Linked DNA regions of Caenorhabditis elegans. The protein of the gene in region 1 interacts with the protein of each later gene in a pairwise test. Each region holds a gene or a part of one and is shown on either strand. Other genes may lie near its edges.

The links. Proteins that work in one complex are often made in the same cells at the same time.
Region 2: the proteins of ztf-28 (region 1) and ehn-3 interact in a two-hybrid assay, tested with the Caenorhabditis elegans proteins (one large-scale study listed by BioGRID).
Region 3: the proteins of ztf-28 (region 1) and ceh-60 interact in a two-hybrid assay, tested with the Caenorhabditis elegans proteins (one large-scale study listed by BioGRID).

What each region holds. Positions count from the first base shown.
Region 1 is NC_003283.11:2,087,526-2,094,228, forward strand, and holds ztf-28 (C2H2-type domain-containing protein), read left to right. Parts: upstream 1-3,143; 5' UTR 3,144-3,155; coding exon 3,156-3,267; intron 3,268-3,328; coding exon 3,329-3,975; intron 3,976-4,030; coding exon 4,031-4,090; 3' UTR 4,091-4,215; downstream 4,216-6,703. Other genes in the region: gtnt-27 (Glycosyltransferase family 92 protein), read left to right, coding at 1-44, 715-858, 1,232-1,464, 2,075-2,222; gtnt-26 (Glycosyltransferase family 92 protein), read right to left, coding at 4,228-4,522, 5,739-6,461, 6,508-6,623, 6,669-6,703.
Region 2 is NC_003282.8:5,415,105-5,423,199, reverse strand, and holds ehn-3 (Zinc finger protein ehn-3), read left to right. Parts: upstream 1-3,977; 5' UTR 3,978-4,004; coding exon 4,005-4,046; intron 4,047-4,278; coding exon 4,279-4,368; intron 4,369-4,737; exon of another isoform or gene 4,738-4,758; intron 4,759-5,031; exon of another isoform or gene 5,032-5,052; intron 5,053-5,145; coding exon 5,146-5,370; intron 5,371-5,713; exon of another isoform or gene 5,714-5,734; intron 5,735-5,764; coding exon 5,765-5,893; intron 5,894-5,941; coding exon 5,942-6,079; intron 6,080-6,129; coding exon 6,130-6,294; 3' UTR 6,295-6,501; downstream 6,502-8,095. Other genes in the region: spp-7 (Saposin B-type domain-containing protein), read left to right, coding at 7,438-7,535. UniProt on the Caenorhabditis elegans protein: Together with the zinc finger protein ztf-16, plays a role in gonadogenesis, specifically in somatic gonad precursor cell development. This is possibly by regulating tra-1 gene expression.
Region 3 is NC_003284.9:6,526,053-6,534,126, reverse strand, and holds the start of ceh-60 (Homeobox protein ceh-60), read left to right. Parts: upstream 1-3,980; 5' UTR 3,981-4,041; coding exon 4,042-4,109; intron 4,110-4,721; coding exon 4,722-4,792; intron 4,793-4,991; coding exon 4,992-5,059; intron 5,060-5,573; coding exon 5,574-5,717; intron 5,718-5,855; coding exon 5,856-5,930; intron 5,931-6,472; coding exon 6,473-6,588; intron 6,589-7,069; coding exon 7,070-7,205; intron 7,206-8,074. Other genes in the region: ilys-5 (lysozyme), read left to right, coding at 480-578. UniProt on the Caenorhabditis elegans protein: Probable transcription regulator which binds to DNA, repressing genes involved in longevity and stress, while activating genes involved in reproduction, such as the vitellogenins.

The DNA.
Region 1 (6,703 bases):
AGTATGAGCAACTCGATTGGATGTTCCACTTGCTGCAGCTTCATGTGAGTTGATGGAAGGAGTACTGTAGGGTTACTGTAGGGTTACTGTATTATCCTGAATTCAAATCGAAAATGTTGGTTTTTTTTTTGATTTTGTCGATTTTCCAATGTCTCAAAAAAAACACGATTTTTCAAAAAAGGGCGGGCGGCAAACTGTTTTGTCGACAAATTCGGCAAATTGGCAAATTGCCGGTCTGCCGGAAATTTTCAATTCCGGCATATTGCCGATTTGCCGATTTGCCGGAAGTGTTTAGAATAATTTTTTATAAGACGGAAACAATTCAAACTGTGCTTTTTTGAAATTTTTTTCCCGTTTTGTTTAGATATTTTTATAGAATTCACATACTTTTCCAAATAGATTTAGGAACATTCATAGAAAGCGCACAATTTTGCCAATTAAAATTGAAATTCTGAAATTTCGAAAAAATGTGCAAAACCACAATTTGCCGGAAATTTTCGGCAATTGCCGTTTTTCTGTCAAATTCGGCAAATCTGCAAATTGCCGGTTTGCCGATTTGCTGAAAGTTTTCAATTCCGGCAATATGCCGATTTGCCAAAAATTTCAATTCCGGCAATATGCCGATTTGCCGGGAAAATTATTTGCCGCCCACCCCTGATCCAAGAATTAATTTTTTTTTGATTTTTGAAAATGCTCAACTTTTTTCCTTTTTAGGACTGTTTCCATCGCAGCAAATACATCTCAAGATGGGTCATAAATGCAGATATTGACGAGCGATTCGTGATGTTTCAGCCAGAAACTACCCTTATTCAACTCCTTCGGTCCCAGGATGCAAATGTTGGGGAGCTGAATTTTCAGGTAAAATTTTCACATATTAGTAGAATATGACACAACGAAAATGGCGCGCAAAAATTCAAAAATTAGAGGGCGGAGTCAAACCGCAAATCTGCGGCGCGCAATTTTTCGAATAAAATTTGACTATCTTGCCACGGGGTTCTGGCCTTCCTCATTGAATTTTTCGCGCTCCATTGACAATCGCCTGCCGGACAACGCGTGGGAAAGTGTCGTGTACTCCACACGGACAAATGCCATTAGTTTTACAACAAAAATCGAGCCGCGACGCGACACGCAACGCGCCGTAAATCTACCCCAGATATGGCCGAGCCAAAATGGCCTAGTTCGGCAAACTCTTCCATTTCAATTTAAGAGAAAAGCCAGAAATCCATTTCAGGCGCGACGGATTCAAAAAACCGAAAACTCACCGCAGAAATTCACCAATCTGCAAGACACCATCGAAAACCTGGAGGCGCTGAAATTCCGGAACACTACTAGAACTCAAATCTGGGAATCTTCAAAAAGTATATACCGCCCGGAAATGGTCGCCGTACAAACCTACCATCACACTCATCTACAGTATCCCGGCGTTATCGTGAAAAATGTTCCCAGGGAGACTGCCGGGTTTAGGTAGGTTTTACACATACGTGAAAGTTTGCGATTTTTGGACCAAAATATGGTACTCGGTCTCGACACGAAAATGTTTTGTTTAATACTAAAAGGTGTGTGCCTTTAATGGGTACTGTAATTGCAAACTTTTGTTGCAGTGGAATTTTCTTTCGATTGTTTTCTGCAGAATAATATTTTTTATCGAAGAACTATGAAGAGCCCACCAACGTACAGTACTCCTTAAAGGCGCACACCTCTTCGAAAATACAAATTATCGTGTCGAGACCAGATATCGTATTTTTAGCTCAAAAATCACAAAGTTTCGCGTGTGTATAATAACACGGTCATATGTAAATTCAAGCAGCAGCTCGTGTACTTCTCGAGGAGAAGTGTGCATTTGTTTTTTGCAGAGATTTTTGAATTTTTACTGAAATTCTTGCCGATTTTTGTGTATTATTTTTGAAAATAGTGAGCATTTTAGACTGAATTTTCTAATTTTTTAGTGTTTTAGGCGGAAATTCTGTAGAAAAAATTACCGAAAATGGCCAAAAATCAGGAAATTTTTGCCAAAAAACGCACACTTGTCCTCGAGGAGTACACGAGCCGCGTAAATCGACACTGACATTTTCAGACACTACCGAATGACCTCCGTCAGAAATAGTATCGGAAATGGTTGGATTTACGGCGACAACTTCACTATAACCGAGCTGGATAGGGAGCTGGAGAAGCTTCTGGTGCATAAAGTTGCTAATATGGCTGAGCATATTTATGGGTCTTGAAATGAAGAAATTGCAGTAACTTACTGTACCGGTTTTGTATTCCTTTTTTTTCATGTCGAAATAAATCAAATCACAAAGTAGCGCCAGTGGGAAAATTGCTTTAAAACATGCCTATAGTGTCACAATGGCCAAATATCATAGTAAAAAAATTCAATTTTTTTTTCTAAATTTTATATGACTTTTTGAAAATTGGAAAAATCTCAGTTTTGCCCGAACTGCAATTTGAATTACCGCCAAGAGAATTCGTTCGATGGAGCGCGCTTGCACGTTTTTATTTTTATTTAAAATTAAATATTTATTGTTATTTTCACTCATTTTTCACCGATTTTTCATGTTTTCAGTGTATTTTTTTTTTGAAATATAAAGAAAAAATTAAGATAAATTCAAATAATCGATTGAAAACCTACTTTACAAGCGTAGAAACAAAGAAGTAACACTTTTAAACGACGTCGACCCTGAATTAATTAATTTTACAGATTTTTTTCGTTTAAAAATATTATTTATTAATTATATGATTAATGTGATTAGTGAGAAGCTTTTTTAGTCTACTATCCTTGCAAAAATTTTGTAGGTCAGTAAAAAAATTCTTTTTTCTTCTACACTCAAAATAATAAAACTGCGTTGCGTGTACGACCAAATAGGCCCCGCCTTTTAATCGTCCACTCACGGGAAAAAGGCAAAAATATGGGAGGGGGGGGACAGCTCGCCACGCCAACAGTGAGAAAAATAGTGTGGTGCGCGGACCTCGAATGATGTCGGCTGCTGATATTGGCTACACCAGCCGCTTTTTGCCTTTTCCCCGTGAGTGAACGAGAAAAAGGCGGGGCCTATTTTGGCGTACACGCAACGCAGTTTTATTATTTTGAGTGTAAATTGATGTAAAATTCTAAAATTTTTCTTCAAAATGTCCTCTTCTTTCAGAAAATCAGCTTCATGGATACTTCCGATCACAAGCCCCTTATCGACCGCTTCGAAACGGAATTCGCTGAAAAATCGTCACTGCTTCGCAAAGAAGAAAGCGAGCTTAAGCGGCCGGATCTCAGAGGTGAGTTTTATTTTATTTTTTTTTGTAATTAAAAAAAAACATTAATTTTTCCATTTTTCAGGCGATTTCCTCTGCTTGTCCTGCGGCCAAAACTTCAAGCACGGCGCTTCTCTCAACCGCCATCGTAAACTGGTGCATAGCGACGAGTACACCTGCATGCTGTGCGCCCGTAAGCTCTACCTGAAGGAGACCGTCCGTGATCACATGAGAAATGAGCACTACTTGGGTCAAGTATACACCTGCGGATGCTGTAACTGGACGTTTTCCAACAAAAAAGCCCTCACCGAACACGCAAAGGCCATACAGGAAACCGGAGCTCCAGGAGACGCCAACCCGATTGCGAAATCCGGCAATTCACCGGGATCACTGCTGAAATCGCCAATTCAAAGAGCCGGCTTCAAGCTTAATCGTCTTTTGAACAAGTCTCTGTCGCCGTCGACTTCCAATTCAACAACGTCCTCATCTTCCCGCGACGCTTCAGGATCGCCCCAACCGGAGCTGGAGCTGAAGCTGGAGCCAGAGCCAGAGCCAGAGCCCAATGAAGAAGCTCTCGAGTACAAAAGATTCTTCAACAATGCAGTCGACACAATTCTACAGAGAAATTTTTTCACCGATCAGCAGATCACTGAAGTCGACACATGGGTCATAATCATCGAAAGTGCGAATGCTCTTGCGACGGCGCTTCAGAGCTACAAGAAAGCTCAGCAGGTAGCTAATTAAAACATTTTTTTTAAAGATAAATTTTCAAAAAATAATTTTTCAGATCCAGCCAGCCGAGCCAGCCATGATCCCAGAAAAGCGCATCAAGCCGGAAATTGAGTAATCGTTGATGTTCGAGTGTCTTCATTATGTTTATAGTTCTACCTCACTGCTCACTTTTTGATTTTCATGTTATGTTAATTTACATTTTCAATTTTCGATAAGCTTTAATACATTATTTTGATTAAAAAAAAGATCCAATTACTGATAGCATCCAATCTCATCACTAAAGAATGCATCACTCGCCCAATGGAATGTGATTGGAAACATGGGCGGCCCGGAGTGATACGTGGCATCTGAATGGGTACACGGCATCGCTTCTCGTTGTGAAAGCTCACAATCAAAAGCATTTACACACGTGGATTCTGCAGAAAGAAGGCCGGCGTCTCGAATGTGATAAAATGATTGATTATAGCACTGGAATACGATGTTCGTATAAAAATCATCTTTGGGCAGAGAGGAGGTTAAGCTGGTGAATTCTGGCTGGGAAATTGTGCTGAAATTTTTTAAAATTTGAACTTTTGAAATTGTGGTTCCCGGTCCTGACACGACACATTTTTGTTGAATGCAAGTGTGTGCCTTTAATGAGTACTGTAACTTTAAACTCGGGTTGCTGCGTAAGGTATGAAATATCGATAAAAAAACCAGAGTTTTTGAAAATACAGTACTCTTCAAAGGCGCACACCGCATTTACAAAAACTGGTCGTGTCGAGACCGGGTACCGTGTTTTTCTTTGTTAAAATTTGCGAAAACTCGCGTATGGCTTATAAAAAGTGGTTTTTTTTCTAAATTTTTTTCACAATGATTTGAGTTTTGTCACGTATTGGCGGCGGAATTAGCACGGATTTCTGGCTTCCCTCATAAATTGAAATGGAAGAGTTTTCCGAACTAGGCCATTTTGACTCGGCCATATCTGGGGTTGATTTACGGCGCGTTGCGTGTCGCGTCGCGGCTCGTTTTTAGTTGTAAAACTAAATGTATTTGTCCGTGTGGAGTAAACGACTTTCCCACGCGTTGTCCGGCAGGCGATTGTCAATGGAGCGCGAAAAATTCAACGAGGAAGGCCCCGTGAACTAGGTATGTCGAAAAAATGAATATCTAATTTGAATTTTTTTCACCAATTTAGGTTTGAAAATTATCAAAAATTATTTTTTAAAAATGCATGAATACACGTAAAAATTGGCTGAAAATGTTTGCACTTACGATTCTGCCGCTAATACCCAACGAGACCCAAATTATGAGGCTGAGCACATTATCTTGCGTGCTCATATTATTACAGGAACACTGAATTCTGAGAATGCGTATTGCGCAACATATTTGACGAGCAAAATATCTCGAAGCGAAAACTACAGTAATTATTTAAATGAATACTGTATCGCTGTTGTCGATTTACGGGCTCGTTCTTCGTATTATTTTCTCAATCTTTTGCATAACTTTAATATTCCAAAAATAAATGATTTCATTTCGTAAATCGAGCCGGCAGCCCGTAAATCGACACAACCATAATAACACGTGGTGCCAGAGTGTCTCATTTTGGCTTGATCTACTTAGCTCTACAAAAATTGCGGCAGAGTTTTCAACTGCTTTCGCATGGTTAAGAACGTGCTGACGTCTCATTTTTGGGCAAAAATTTCCCGCATTTTTTGTAGATCAAACCGTGATGGGACAGCCTGGCACCACGTGTAAGAAGTAATAGGTCTAAAAATTCAAACCTCAAAAAATCCTCATCGATCTCCTTCAAATGTCTTTCACTAATCAACTCAGTAATATTATCTCCTGGATTAATCGGTATAACTCCTTCCCGAACATTACTTGAGTTTACGAAAACCATGTGTTTCAAATGAAATATTCCATTATTATATATGTACTTCATTTTTCGATAAATAGGTTTCCTCTGCTTTTTTGTCAAATAAATTGGACGATCATCCGAGTTAAGTGAATAATGAGACCACGTAGAATTCAATCTCTCCGGGCGGAAGAACGACTTTCCTTCGTCTTTTGTTTTCAGTCGTTTTGAATTTTTAATCATTGAACTTATGTTTAGAGTCTTCTTAGAGTCCAGTACCGAAGTTTTTATAGTTTTATAGTCAAATTTGTCATAGTGAAGTGCACTAATCTCCCAGCTTCCGGCATATTCTCTCTCGAACTCCTCGTAGTAAGAGTTGGCATTTGTTGGAATAAGTATATCATCCATGTCAAGAACTCCAATAAAGCTTACAGCCTCCTTATACATGAGAATACAATCAGTGTGCGCAGCCGCCTGATTTCTGAGCTCCACGTTACGATTTGGCTCCAAATATGGTTCATCTGTGGTAGAGAACTTAATTGTGAGCCAAGGTTCAATGGATACAAGCCCCAGCTTTTCATGTTCCTTGAGCAAGTTGAAGTAGGACTCTACCATAGATACCACGTACAGTTGTAGATGAGCTCCGTATCTGAAAATTTGATTTTTGACATAAAAATTTGCAATTCTAGTGTAACCGCTTCGAAACATGCAGCTGCACCAGAAAAGTCTGCCACTGCTCTGCAGCAAATTGTGGGGCTATACAGAAAACCACTGGTTTTGGCGCTGAATATTTCGGACGTTTTACTGGTACCTATAACTTGTTGTACTGAAATTATATATAATAAATATTCTTAACCTCTACTAAAACTCCATCGGACTCAATTTCCAGCT
Region 2 (8,095 bases), on another chromosome or scaffold:
TCATTTTCACTGGTGCAAATACATAATCTTAATTTTTTTTTTCTTTTGCTTTAACTACGTTAATGGGAGATGAAAAGAAAATTTTAGATACATTTTAGAAATTGCGACAATTTTCATTTTCTCAAATTTCTCTGTTTCAAGATCACTATTTATACTGTTGTGAGTTACGTAGTTTGGTTGTGTCTTTTTTTTTTGAAATTTAGAAACGTCATATTAATTTTTCAATGGCAATTTTTAATTATTGAAAAAGTTCCAATATATTACTCTAGTGTTCCTTGATAGTTGAAGGCATATTTAAATTTAGTCAAAACAATTTTTTAATTGCACTGCAAACAAATTACGCAACATTGAAAAGTTGCATTTTAACATGTTTCCTCCATAAAAATCTAACAGTTTCGAAGTATTAATATATTTTCGATTTTTTAACAGTCAGTCAATAGTTCGTTATTTCTCAACTTCAAAATTGCCTTCAAAATTGTATTTTATTTTGAAAATTTTTTTAAATGTTTCAATTTTTCTTAAAACTTTTCTAAAAAGTTCATAATTCGTTAATTTGCCCGTTTGAGTATTAACCGGTACATTGCGAAAATTTTAAATCTTTGATAAAAAAACACGCCCTTAAACACATTTCAAACTATTTTTTGACAGTCAAAGTTTTCTTGAAGTTGAAAAATAGTGATAATTTATTTTTTCATAGTTTCGATGGGGCACTTAGTGGGCGGAGCCTATAAAGCCTTGCCCATGTTATAGGCGAAGTTGGAGACCCTTCACTGTGGCCATTCTGTGGAAAATTGAACAATTAATTCTTCAAATTAGTTGGGCGCGGCTATCAAATTTTGAAAAAAAAATTGAAAAAAATTACTGTTTCAAAGTCACATGTTATACTGTAGCATTATGTGGTTGCTATTCCTGTTACTAATTTCAATTGAAATATTTTGTTCTTTTCAATTTCTGGTCATTATGAAAGATAATAGACAGACAAAACAAAAAGAAGGTCCTTCTAATCTAGAAAAATACGACAAAAAAGAGAACATTGAGCCTTGTCAGCAAAGAAGTAAGGGAGAGGCGAGAATGGGAAAATGCGATTTAGGAGAGAAGGAGAAATTATACAATTATTTCAGAAAAGAAGAAGCACAAAAAGAGTGAGACAGACACAAAATGGGGGTGCAGATGGCAAAAAACAACACCAATCTCTGTACAGGAAGAATGAGGAAATGGAACAAAGTTTTTTGTCGGCGGCGCGGGATTTCTCGAATTTTAAATGGGTATTCGGATGTAAAATGATGAGAAAGAGAAAGAAGAACGGAAATTCAATTTACGCATCCGATGAAAATAACAATTTTCAAATTTTGGTTATAGTATTAATGGGTGCCCAGACAATTTTGAGGCTAATTTTTTTATACAGTGTCATGAATTGTAGAACTTTCGTCTGAAATTTCTTTTAAAAATTTGAAAAAATTCAAAAAAACAGGCTCCGCCTTTCTTCCACTTATCTTTTTTTCGATGGATTTTTTCGACTTTTTTTGTACTTTTTTTTAAACATATTTCTGCAATGCCGTGGAGTTAACTGTATATTTTCCGCTAAATCCATTTAATGAAAAATAGTTTTTACATTTTTAAGAACAGTGTGATTACAGTAGTGGTTTTGTACACTTGTTGCGAACTAATTTAGCGTTTAAGGGAATAAAATACCTATTCTTAATTTAAAACATTTCAAAGCATATCCATTAATGCTGTGCTGCTTGGCATTTTAAGAAAAAAATGAAACCGAAAAAAAATTAAACACGGATTCATGAAAATCGATTCTCATGTCGTTTTTTTTTTTGAAAAACTCAAGCAAATTTCTACAATTTCACTCAACGAAAATTTATTAAAAAATTATATTTGTTCCAGTGACGTCATGAAGAACACTATCTAGCGCACGGCACTTTTTGAGCGGAGCCTATGGTTCCCAAGAGGTCCCGCTCCAACAACTTTGTGCAACATTTATAGACCCCGGGAAAAATTTGAATTAAGGGGTAATCCTTTTTTCATTTTTATTTTCATAATTGTGAGCGGATTGTTGGTAAAGCTGCTGTGAAATAGGCGGCTCAAATCGTTAAAGTCAAATTTTAAAAATATTTGAAAGATTTGGAGAAGAAAGTCAATATTCTACCCGCGACGTTTTTTTTGTTTGAAGAACCACTAAACATAAATATGCCCTAGCGTTAAGGAAGTCTATCAAAACTATCAATACTATAGTATACTGTAGTTACAAGGATATTGAAACAGTTAAAGATTTACATCACTAAAACTAATTTCATATCACTTTTGCAGTATCTTGTTTCAACTTAGTATTTATGATTTCTCATTTTTATTATTTAGACTGGTAAGCAGAGAGAAAAAAGCTGGGAATTAGGAAAAAGTAACAACATGAGCAGAGGAAGAAGAAGAGCAACAAGAGCATTAGACAGAATTAGTGATGATGTAGAAGGTACAAGATGAAAAATAGCAAAAAAATAAGTAGAGAATAAAATCAAAACTTTTTCATTTTTCGGTTTTTGGACTACTTTAGAAACTGTAAACAGAGGAAACAGTGGTTTTGTTGGACGTTAAAAACATTTGAATATTTCACATTTAAAATTCCGTTGCAATCAGTTTGAATTTAAAATACATTTAATTTCTAGCTATGTTGAAACTGTGAAATTTTCGGAAAATGCGAAAAAAATGTGACGGATTTTTAAATATTTTATCTAAATCTTCACCGGATAATTTTGGAAATAATACGTTTAGAGGTCGAGCATGATCCCGATTAAAATTAATTAATTGTTAACTGTTTTATGGACTATTTGAAACGTGTTCAATTTGAAAAATGGCATTCATTCTTTCCATCAAACTCATAGTTATTTTTCAGATCTGAAAAAATATCAGAGCCTATTTATCTCGATTGAAAACATTTCTGCCTTTTATAGCTTGATTTTAAGGGTTTGTTGAAACAGTGATATTTTTTTGAAAATAAATGAAAACATTTTCTTGAGTAAGACCTCTCCAGCTATCTTTGGATACTGAATAAATCAGATCTCATACACCAAAAAGCCGATAACTAAAAATATAAATATTATTTCCAGAAGTTTATCACGGAGAATCTTCGATTCCTGACATTAAAATCGAAAGCATTTTCCATTAAAAACTAATATTTTTGCACTCTTCACCTTCTTCCGGCATGTAATCCTATATTACAGACATCCAAGGTAAAAGAGAAAAAACTTGATTTCCTTTTTTCCCTTTTTCTCCAGAAACGTCTTCCAATGTCGTCTTCTTCCTGGACACATTATGCTAATTTATTCGATTTGTGCCATGGTTAATGTATTAGGAAGAAGGAAGAGCATTACGCTATGAACAAAACGCTTTTTTTCGCCACGTGATTTGCGGTTTTGCAGGAGATGGGGGATTCTATTGTTGAAACTAACAAATCCTGAAACTCATAAAATTTTAGTGAATTCATGAATCTGTAAAAATTCTGAATTCTAACAATAATGAAAAGACTTTACAGAGATAAATAAAAACCGAATGAAACATTTAAAATCAGTCAAACAAATGTTTTCTATGAAACAGGAAATTTAATTCTAAAAAAAAAAAAGGATTTTTTTACTCGTACAGTCCAAAGTACTGTAACTGTTCTTAAAATTGACCCCAATTGTAATTTAATATCAATTTGTCCACTATATTTGCTACCTTCTCTTCCAAATCATGAAAGTGACCTCTGACTATATATCACCCCAGTTTGTCACCAACCATCTGGCAAGTAGCGGCAGCCGGCTTATCTGTTATGTCGGAAGATGTGCTTCTTCTCCGACTTGTTAAGATATCTGACACCTAGGATTGTATATTTCCCCCAAATGACCTTCGACAGTACCCGAGAAGTTATAAACAATTTGTGCTCCACCCAAAGTTTGGAATAGAAAATCCTATAGTCACTTTCTGACACTCTCTGACTTTATTCCTCCCAGCTTCCAAATTACAAAATGGAAAAATGCGATATTTGTCACCAGAAGTTTTCCAATAAGGTGAGTGGAGAGTACTAAAGGTTATAGGTAGAAACTAAAGTGCCTACCAGGTTACTTATGGTTTCGTAAACTACTTTCTTGTTTGGCTCTTGAAAAACTGAGACGCAAGACTCAAATCTTTAGAAAATTTCTTTTTAATTATCAATTTACAACATTGTTCAAATCGAAAAGCAACAAAAAACAAGTTACTAAAATCGTAGAAAAATTTTGATTTCCATGTATATTTTTTCAGACAAACTTGAATCGTCATAAGGTGATGCACAGTGGAAAAAAGAAGTTTGAATGTCAGTTCTGCAGAAGACCTTTTTTTCGGAATGATCGGGTTAGTTCTTGTGGTTTTCCGATAAATTTGTATAGAGGATATTTTATTGAAGTTTCTTTATAAAGTTTAGTCGTTTTAGTACAAGCTTTATCTCTAGTGACCAAAAAAATTCACTAAGTAACCTACTTTACGAAAGTTAATTACTTGAAATTATTCCAAACGCTTACAAATAACTCGATTTTTTTGTCGAAACGTTAAAAAAAATGCTAGAAAAAAGCTTCCTAAAAGTTGACTCAATTTATCACTCGTACATCAGATTTAAAGCAGAATGAAACAATCTGTGTTATTGATTTTCAGAAATTGACACAAAAATTTTAATTATGTGTTTCATGATGTTTTTAATAATCACTGAATGCAATTTACGATTACTGGTATCTGTGATTTGCGAATCTGTTCAAAAATAAATGTTTAATGCCAAAGCACTAAAAAATTAAAAGAGAATTAGCACCCAGCATGCCAAATGATGTAGGGGAATTATTTTTCTGTGGATGTGTACTGATACGTTGGCTTTAATTTACTGTTAGCTAGAGAAAATTTAAAAGCTTTGTTTTAAATATTTTTATTGAAAACAAAGTTAAGATTGTTAAAAGTCGTTTACTTTTTCCAGATCTGACCATCAGTTTTTTATATGAAAGTTTCAGTTATGCAAGAAAAGTTGTATTTTCAAATATACTTTGAGAAAGATCGAGCTTTCTAGTAGTATAAAGCATTAAGCATTATTTCTTGAAACATTAAACAGATTAGAAAACAATCTCTTCAACTTTTAATCCAACTCAGATGAAAGAGCACATGATGACCCATATCAAGAAAGGAAATACCTTTGAATGTCCCATCACAGCGTGCAATTCAAAGTTCAACAGCTTCACGAGTTTGCAGTTTCATGTAGATTCGGAGCATATCATAAGAGGATCGTCTCCAGCTAAATGTAAATCTTGCATCAAATGGTTCAACAGTTCCCATCGTCTTCTGCTTCATTTTCATACTGCACACCTGGATCATACGGTGAGTACTTTTTTCTGTGGAAGAATTGAAGCACACACTGTTTTTATTTGGATTTTACATCAGCTACTTGCTTACGAGTAGGTTATAGCTGTGATGTGTTAAGTTTAGCCTACGTTTGATCCGATTCTTGCCGAATGTTGACTAAACTTTTCATTTGAGACTAAAAGTAAAATTTTGAAAACCGTTGGGTCTTGCAATCGAAAATACTTGAAAGCTTCAAAACATTAGAAAAATTGATCTAAAATAGAATTCACTATACTCGAACTTCTCCACATAATTGAATTGAATTTCAAAATACTTTTTCGCTATTTCTACAAAATCTCTACTAAAGTCAGACGTGCACTATGTATAGATTGGATTTTGGTAGATATATATAAATCTCCTTAGTTTTCAGAAATTCTTCTCTTTCAAACCTGCTCCAATTCTTCCAAAATCCACTACTTCAATCTTGAACCCCATCAAGAATCCAGATGATTTTGATAGAATCTTTGACTTTTTCAAAACTGAAATCGCACCACTCTTTGTAAGAAATTTGAAATTGAATTTTCAACTGGTAACATAATATTTTCAGCCGCTTCATAGCACTGTTTCACAAGCCCCATTGCCACAGTGCTCTAGATCTGTAAAATCCGCAAAAGAGTTGTCTCCAACACCATCTACGGAAATCGAAACTCCCGAAGAAGAAGAGTTGGATGGTCCAGAGAGCTGGGTATGTACCTCTGGGAAAAAACGTATTTTGTAAAAAAACAATTATTTCAGTACTGCGATTACTGTAAAATCAGATTCGATGACAAAGTGATGTGGTATTTGCACAGTGGACTCCACTCAGATGATATTCCGTTCAAATGCTCACTTTGTGGAAGCCTATGCGATGGAAAATATGATTTTGCTGCTCATCTCGTTTACGCCAATCATAACTTCTAAAATATAAAAATGTCGATTCTTTTTCAAAGTTATAGCATGGTTCAATTTATTGTTAAGTACCAGCATCAATCTTATCAATAATGTTCCTCATCTTCTGTTGGGATGTTTTAAAATACTTAACTCTGTTCTTGTGTGAATTAATTGTTACATTTGTTTCTGTTAATTGTTTTATATATTTGAAAGTTAGAAATATGATTTTCTCAATTATGGTAGTTGATTTTATTTCTGAAAACTTCAAAAGATTTACTAAAAATTATTGATATGCGAATTTTGCAAAAGTTATGCTGATTATTTTTATCTTCAGGAGAGCAGTTTTAAGGAGGAAATGCCAAGAGTTTTAGATTAAGAAATTTCAAATTTCTACCAACAGATTTTAAAACATTACTCCTGATTTTAGGACAATGAAGATTTTCGCATTTTAAAAGCCTAATTAAAAAAAAACGGCGAGATCAATTTTTCTAGTATAAAATGCTCCTCTGAAGATAATTTTCACAAAGTGTCCAATTAAAAAAGTCATCTCTAGGAGTGATAACACTTTGAATTTCCGAGATTTATTGAAAACTTTATTACATCTCCAACATTAATAATAAAACAAATTAAGAAAAAAGTATTTTACAGTTTTCTAAAGTTTGATGTATTTATAGAGTTTTGCTCTTGAAATATTATTCACAATTTTGCCTCTTTTATAAAAATATCAACAAAAAAATTCTCAAAATTCTCAAGCTAATATCCCATCTGAGACATGAAAAAAGTGATCTTAAGCACGATTCGATTGTCTCCAAACCCTTTGTTCATCATTTTCGTTCAATTATAATAGTACACATACAGTAGGAGGTAGTGGCGAAATAAGGCAATCGAGAGGAAGGATCACAAGTGTGCAAACGATGCTCTCAACTCGGGTGCTCAAATTCGCACATCTCGAGTGTCTGCGTCTCTTCATCTCGCACGCTCTTTCGGCGCTTCTCTTACCAAATACAGTGCTTGAGGTGCGAAATATAGAGAACATAGACGTCTTCTTCTTCTTGTCTTTATTTTGGGCTCCCGGGTAGCTCCTCCTATTTTCAATTGTTTCTGTTTCACTCATTGAATTTCAATAATAATAATAAGTTCCGTTTTCACCGGATCTCAAACTCTCTTCTTAAAATGAGAATTAATTTATTTTTCGTTTTTGCCGTGTTAGGTCAGCAATTTCAAGTCACTTTTACATATTTTTGGAACGAAGAACCAGTTGTCAGAGAGAGGTGAGTTTATTTTGATTAAAAATGATCAATTTTCAAATAATTTCACTAAATATCAAATTGTTGAAACTGTACATTTTGTATTTAGGTTTTTTTGAATGAGTAACATTTTTAAAAAGTTTATGCGAGTGTCACTTTTTTTCCATGTTTTCAAAGAAAATCAACGAACTTGAGAAACCCTCCTTTCAAGAGCAATTTCAAATTTTCAGTGCATCTGTGCATCCCCTACTATTTTTCAAAAATTACAATAATAATATGGATATCTTGAAAGAAAAAATTCAAACTCAAAAAATTTTCCATAATTAATTGATACAACTAAACTTTCTAGTTGATTCTTAACACAGAGCACCTGACTGCTGACACATAATAACGAAAGAAAGTTAAAGCATGTGATATATCACATAGTGAATAACTAGATATATAAAATTCTTGATACTGTGCATTTTTATTAATTTTTTCTCTCTTTTTTTGAGATGATTTCAAATAATTTCAAATAATTCAAAGATTTCAAATATTAAAACTACTTAATGCTTTTAGTCTTGTCGAACAAAGAATTTTCAAAT
Region 3 (8,074 bases), on another chromosome or scaffold:
TTAGAGCAAGAATGCTACTACGCAACTAACTATAAGAGGTTGAAAATTAAATGTCGAACATTTCTATTTTGGGTAGCAGGGGAAAACATTAATATGCCATAGTCACTAGGTAGGTGAAACGACCCTCTGGAATAGAGAAATTATTGCAGACCTGAACAGGTCTGACGTAGAAATGTCTAGAGCATCCAAGTAGTATTCCACCAAAAAATGTACATATACTTCCTGACAATTTTTGGAAAATTCTGACGACAGAAACACTACAATTTTTTCTCGATTCTTTATCTTTTAATCATTTTGGTCACACTTGAGCAGTTTTTTAACATCATTTCATTGAGTGGACATGTGTATTTGACAATTGATAATAGTGGGACTAACAATCAGAAAACTACGTAGCATTTTCAGAAGTATGTTGTTTTGTTCAAGTTAGGACAAAAGACCTTAGATTTCAATCAAGCAAATGGCAATCCATTCAATTTCAGATCATGTCCCGTAACCACAACGGAGGACCACGTGGATGCCACAACGCCAACACCTTGGCTTACTGGAACGGAGTTAAAAGCTGCTGTGGATGCTCTTAATTTTCAATTTTATCAAAATAAGAATATATATGAATCAATAAAGCTTATTTAAAATCAAAGTAGAAAGGATATCAAACTTGTTTATAAGCTTTTCAAAACATAGGTTGCGAAAAAATGCGAACGTTTTGAAAAATAATTGAGTAGGCGAAGAGGTCAGTGGGTTTAAAATGATGTCAGAGTGAACAATTTATGAGAACAAGCATATCGTTTTCTAAATTTGTAAAGGTCTAAGTAGACCACCATCTATGTCATAGGTTGTATCTTAAAATAAGTTGACCCGTTTTATGATCTAGTTTTATATTCTTTTTGCCTCTGGTGAGAATAAACAAGGCTTTCAATTTGTCTGCTCGATGATGCATGATGTTTACGATACTTTCGGATTAAAATAATCGTGAGATGGATTTGCACGAAAAGGTTGCGGAACGAACAGCTCGAATGATATTAAATGATAATCTCGAATTGTCAACAAAGTACATTATGAAGTGATAGGAACTGTTGTTCGCAGACCTGAGATGTTTTGAAAACTTGATTTTAAAACCTACGCAACCGGAAAATTAAAGATCACAAGATTTCTGTGAGGATCATAACGGGTGTAGGTAGCAACTTTATCTCGGTGTTTCCACATTTCTATTTCAGGCTTAAAAACAAAGTTGGTCTTTTTCGTTCTCAAGTTGAGCTCAAGACAGAAGTTGGGAAAAATATCATTTTCAGATTACCAGCAAACTTTTCAAAACAGAGCAGAAAGAAGAAAACTGATCATTCGTGATAAAATATTTAGTCTCCCGAGGATGAAAAGTTTAAGGAAGTTAACTTTTTTATCTGTTGTTAATAACCTATTTTTTAGATTGAGTATTCAACATATGTTAAAAAAAATGTTTTCACTTCAAAATTTGGAAGAAAATTAGGTACTTTTCCGATTTTTGCCCCCCAAAATATGTTTTACTCAATATTTCAATTTAAATTCACACGTGAATGTTTATTTTAATACTATTTCAAATTTTTAGGCTTAGAAAAAACAATACTAAGCCTGAAATTACAAAAAAGTTCACGTTTCATTAATGAAAATATCGAAACATTTTGGGGGGGCAGAAATCGGAAAAGTACCGAAAATTAACTTAATTAACTTGATAAGTTCAAAACTTGTCTGAATAAAGTAAAAAAACCAAAGATTTTTAAAAGTTATAAAGTGATGCTTTTTGATTATCTATCGTATCCAAACAGGTGGTCAGACAAAACAAACGACACCTCGTGAGAATATCCAGACAGCTAACAAGTGACTGTGAAACAAGGAAAAACTTCAGAACACATATTAACTGAAAAAAAAAACACTTAATTTTTCTTACTTTTCTCTATTTTGTTCTCAATTGATATCATCTCTTTGCCGCTGGTTTTTCTTGCTCTGACTCTGAGCAAGATTTTTATTGGCACGTGAAAAAATTGCATCATTTCAGGGCACCACTGAGCGTGGTCCTGTAGCATGTGACCAACAAAAATTACGAAAAGAAATTAAAAATTTGTTTACTTGAAATTGTTGTAAGTTATAAAAAAGTTCCCTACTCTTGATAAGAACGTCTTATGGAATTCGATATGGATTTTTTTTAATTATGTGTACATTTTTTTACCTAGATTTAGAATTTGAGCCGCGTTAGGGGGGGCTTTTGTGTAAAATTGATTTTTTACAGACGTACAAATCTGTACGAAAAAACCAAAAACAAAAATAGTAATAAGACGACTTGTATACGCGAAACGATAGAATAATTTTGCAAACAAAAATTCTCAGCTTCTGAAATTCTAAAAAAAACGAGTTCTCGCGTGTATTTCTCTCGAGCAATCACTTGATTTATTTTTTGATTGTTCAAACGTTTTTATTTTTCCCTTTATTTTAAACTGAATTATAACAACAATAATTAGTAATTCATAAAAACAATTTGAACTGAATACTAGCTCAACAACATCTGTAATTAGTGGAAATTTCTGTTTTAGCGACATAGTAATTTATAACAACGAGTGTTGTTCCGTTTTAAGTTGTATGACTTTTAAAAGTTGACAACATGCAAAAAAAGATTAATAACCATTTTTATAGTGCTGAAAAGACTAAATGTCTTGATAAAACTTCTCAAAATACTTTTGAATTTTTTTGAGATAAAAAAGGGTTAATTATTGTTTAACTACTTACAGTGTTAAAATAAGAATATTTTGAACACAAATGTAAAATTGAAGAAATAATTGTTTGTTTTATGTGAAGCATCTGATGGAGTCATAACTAACTACTGTAAAGTTCAAGACGATCAAATAGTGGCCTTGCAAAACTAATGGTATTATCCTCACTTCAGCTAGCTGATCCATTTAACTGATAGTCATAAAAACATGAGCAAGTGTATGATATATTACAAAATATAAAAAATGTGCTCGCATGTTTTTCAGTTGTGAAAACATAATCCTTGATGATATTTACCGTTGAGTAATAAGCCAAGAGAAAGAACAAGTGTAATGGTTTGGCATTTTACTACACAATCAAAGTTCTACTACGATTTCGGATTCCCATGGGTACCTTGTGTGCTGTTGTACTTTCATTGTATTATCTAGTTTTTATACACAAGTTTTGAAACATCAGGTAGATATGCAACAAAAAAACTATCCAAATGCAATACTTAAATTGAGTTTCGGTGATTGGCATGTAATTGAAAAGAAATCGCAACATTTGGGGAATGGTGTTATCAGTGTACATGGTGCACTTGAGCATGGAAGAAAAAACCACTAGAACCGTTCTTTTATCAGTTGAACGTGGTTGTTCAATTATTTTTTCCGTCGCTTTCCATATCGTTTTCTCTTTGAAATTTTCCAATTTTTCCTGATTTCGTAATATATGACAATTAAAATCATCTAATGAGATTAGTGAAGTGTTTGCTATGACACAAATTTGGGTTCGGTTTCTTTTTGTGTAGAAAGGGAAAAGGAAGAGGTGTCACGTAATAAGTCAACATTTATCCTTATGAATTTGAGCGACAGAAAAGGCGGCCCAAATGACAGTAATCCAATAATAATGTTTGCTCTAACAATATCAATAACCCAAATCTACGAGCTACTAGTGGTAGTCTTACTGTACAGTTATTTTCATTTATTGAACACATTTTTGGATTTTTTAATTTTATGTATAAAATTTTTTTGTAACATTTAGTAAAACATAAAATAATAAATAAAACATTTCTATGCATATTAACAAGTAAACTTGACAGGATTTTTTTTTCAAATTCATATCTTAGTAATGATCTATAAAAAATGATGAAATTAAACTCAGTTTTTATCAAATTACACCGATGAATAGAAAAGAAAAAACCTAGACAGAATTCGTACCACCTATTTTAGTTTTTTTTTTTCGTGATTTTTCAAAATTGTATTTAGACACATCACAGCTCTGTGTTGTTGCGTTCACAACCGAGTGCATCACACCGATCTTTGAGAGATGGATAATCTTATTAAGCAGCTCCAAATGAGCGTCTCAAGTGAAAACGTCGACAGGAATTTTATTGAGTGAGTTAAAAAAAAAACTTTTGAGCAGCAAAACAGGATTTAAAAATAAATTGACCTCTATGAAAAGAACACTGTTTAATAGATGTTGGCATGACCTATTTTTCAAAAATGTACATCTAAACGGTATTAGATAGGAATAAACTTCTAAGAAAAAAAGCAAAAAAGAAGAAAAATTTAGTTGGGTTTAGGCAAATCTTGATTGTTTGATATTCTATAGTTTGAATGTTTTCATAAGTGATATAAATGACTAATACATATGATCTGCAAAACATCCAGATCAGAGATTCGTCTAGGCATCGTAAGAAGTGTAGTTTGTGATTGAAGAAAATTTATAGAAATGAGAGAACCTGATTCAGATACCGATTTTTATATTTCTTATAAACTGGGTCGGGAGGTGAATCTAAACAGGTCATCTTCCTAGAAAATTTTAGAAAAACATCAGGGAATAGGTGAGACAGTTTTCAGTTCGAGTCATCTTACAAATGATGTGACATATGAATCATAACAGTAGATGCTGATTAAGTTTACACCCCTAGAGAACTATTAGTGAAGTGATGATCATTATTTTTTGTTACCGCTGAAATAGTAAAAACTTATATTAAAAAATTGCAGAAAATGCATCGAAATGAATCCCTGTCGCCGGATGCTTCACGAAGTGCTACTTGAAAGAAAAGACATTTTACGTAAGCAAAGAATGAAAAATCAAAAAGTTATGCAGATTTAGAAAAGGTGAAGGTCACATCCGGTGGTCTTTTACAGAATCAAAAGTTTATGACTATGATATAGCGAAAAGACTCTCTAGTTTAAACAAATTGAAGTTTCAAAAATAATAAAAAAACGGAAGTATGAAATGGATCAGAAATTAACACATTTACATTTCAGGCTCTCGGATGAACTTGGTTGCGTTGTATGATACAGATGAACAATCCTCCGAAATTGAGGAAATTCTCGTGAGTGAATAAGTTTTTAAAGTTACATGAAATAGTTTGTGACATTTTTCAATTGAAAGATGAAGCTTATTCTATGTTGAAAGGATTTACACTAATACTACGGAGCTAAAATAACCATATAGTATAGTAAAAGATTCAAACGATTTTGGCAAATTTTTAATTCAAGTCAAAAAATCGTGAAATCGCTGTTTTCACAAATTTTTTGGAAGTTGTCATTCATTTAAACACCAGTTTCTTTCAGTTCTACGGTCTATGAACTATTGTGTTTGCAATTTTTATATTCCAACACTGTTTGGGTTTGAAAAAACGACACTATTTCAAATTTCTCGATAAGTGGTGCAATCTCACTTTTTGACCCGACATAAAAAATTATCAGAATTTTTTTGAGAAGATTTAGTATGATATTCGGTCATTTCAGCGCCACAAACTGGTTTAAAATTATTACCCCATTGGCTGTACTCTTTTAAAACAAATCATTAGAACTGAAAAATTAGACAAGCAACAAAAATTGTAGGCTCAATTCGAAAATCCTACATTTCCGTTGGAAGAGGTCAACACTGAGAAAGACGAGGAATGGCAACCCTTAGAAAGGAAATATTTGGACGGAATTAACCGTATAAAAGAAGACACTATCATGAAACAAATTCAACTGGACAAGGTGATATTTCATATTTTCAAAAAAACAAACTGATGCGGTAGGCGTAACAAAATTTGACATTTACTCAAGCTTGTGAGAAGCTTTAAATCCGATTTTTGATTTGTAAATACTTTTCAAATTTAATTCAGAATATTTCAGGATATGGAAAAAGCCCTGACTAATAGCGAAGAAGTACTCAGAAATCATCGCGATTTTAGACCGATCGACGAAAAGGTAAAATAATTATATTAATTTGTAGAAGAGATATCGAGATTATTATTTGAGATTAGAGAGCAAAAAAAAAATAACAAAACACAAAACTGAAGTTGAAAAGTCAGGCGAACGAATAGAAGAATAGAAAACAACCAGCTTATTAATTTGTTGTTTGTGAATTTTACACTTTTGAATGACTTTTTCTGAACAAAAGTCAGTTTTTCTGAATCCTACTGTAATCCAAAAAAAAGAAAACTAATCCATTTTGGTTTTTCTTCAATTTTTGAAACGATCGAGATCATCACTTGTTGAGATTTAACGCAAGATCAGATCAAATTTTTTTCATTATAAATTTGTTTTTTTTTAAGTTAGGATTATAATTTTACGTGCAAAATTCAATATTCACAATTTCCCGTAAAAAACAAACACAAACCATGATAAATATGTAGAAACCCGTACAAATGTCACATATAATACACAAAATATGAACTTTTTTAAATGCTAACAAAGTCAATGTGTTTTCATTAGGTCCAAATTCACGAAGATTATTGAAAATGTTTCAGGATTTCTCTAACATTCGGCAAAGCATTTCCAAAAGGTTCGAGCATTCGAAAAATAACATTCGCGGGGAGGCAGCAACTAAAATTCTAGTTCTCCGGAGGGAGATCGAGCAGCAGGGGTGAGTTTTTGGATATTCCACCATTATTACATATATTACTATCATATCTCATTACCTAACATTTTAATTTGCAAGTAGACATTACGCTAGTTGACATTAATCCGAAATTAGAATAACTTCCGTGAGACTACTTGTTCCGTCCCTTGTGAGGTCTAGGTTTTGCAAGACACTCAACATACAAAATCATAAATTCAAAAAAAAAATGATGTGGAATACGTTCTCAAATCATGTTGCTTTTTAATAAACTTCGTTGATATTCCAGACAGATGAACACTGAAATGAAAAAGTTCATCGGCTTAGGAACTAAACATCTGAAATTCGTAACAATAATAAACAATTTGAAAACTGAGACAAACTTAATTCTTCACATGATTTGGATTCATATTCAAAACAACGCAGATCACATTTTGTCGGATTTCGTTTGAAACTAACTTTAACGCATGGATCATACAAATTGTTGCTGAAACCGATTTTGTTTCAGACGCAAGCGCCGGAACTTTGACAAAAACACGACGGACATTTTGCAAAACTGGTTCCACGATCATCGTCAAAATCCTTACCCGTCCGACCAGGAAAAGGCGGAATTAGCAAAACAGTGTAATATCAAAATTTCACAGGTAAGATCAGTTGTACGATTAGAAAGGTGTGTGATGCTCAATTTTGTTTTATAAAAAACAATGTCTGAATCAGACTAAATTGAATTATGTCGGTGACGTTAAAGTCTTAAACCTCGAAAGATAGAATATCCTCGAAAAAAATATACTGAACTGATTCAGACTACACATGAAGACTTTACTATTTAAACTAGTGTATGATTATTGGCTTAAAACTAGACTATTCAGCAAAATAGACCTCTAAAAAGAGAACATATTGAAATTATCAAAAGTGGAGTTATCAATTTGGAGCTTGACGACTTGCCGCAATTATAAAATAAACTACCAAAATATGCAACAAAAAATGATAGTTTTTAAAAAATCAACTACGGACAGATACGACACAGAAAACTGGGCAAAATTCGAGATTTTAGCTAAAAACAGTGTTTTTTTTTGACATTTTGAACCGCCATAAAAAATTTTAAAATTTTTTGATCAGTTTCTCTACGGAATTTGTTCATTTGAGCCCATTTTTGGCCAATACGTTTAAAATCGTCCGATCCGTTAATCCTCCTTTAATTTACTAGAGGTCTAGAAGAGAAAAATTTAGTAATGTTTGAACATTCTCAAAAAATCCAAATCTTTCAAAACTTGTTATTGCCGTTTGAAATTTCACGAAAAGAGTCACATTTCGCTAAAATGCCTAATTTCTCCAACTCGTCTATGTCACATCGGATGAAAACCACAAGAAAAAAATTGAACTATCACTTTTCATTGCATATATTGACAGTTTATTACTTACCTTTTGAGTTGCTAGGCACTTAATTTCGGTAATTTTTAGGTGTCTATTTTACTTAAAATGTACCTATCTACTTAGAATGTATCAACAAATG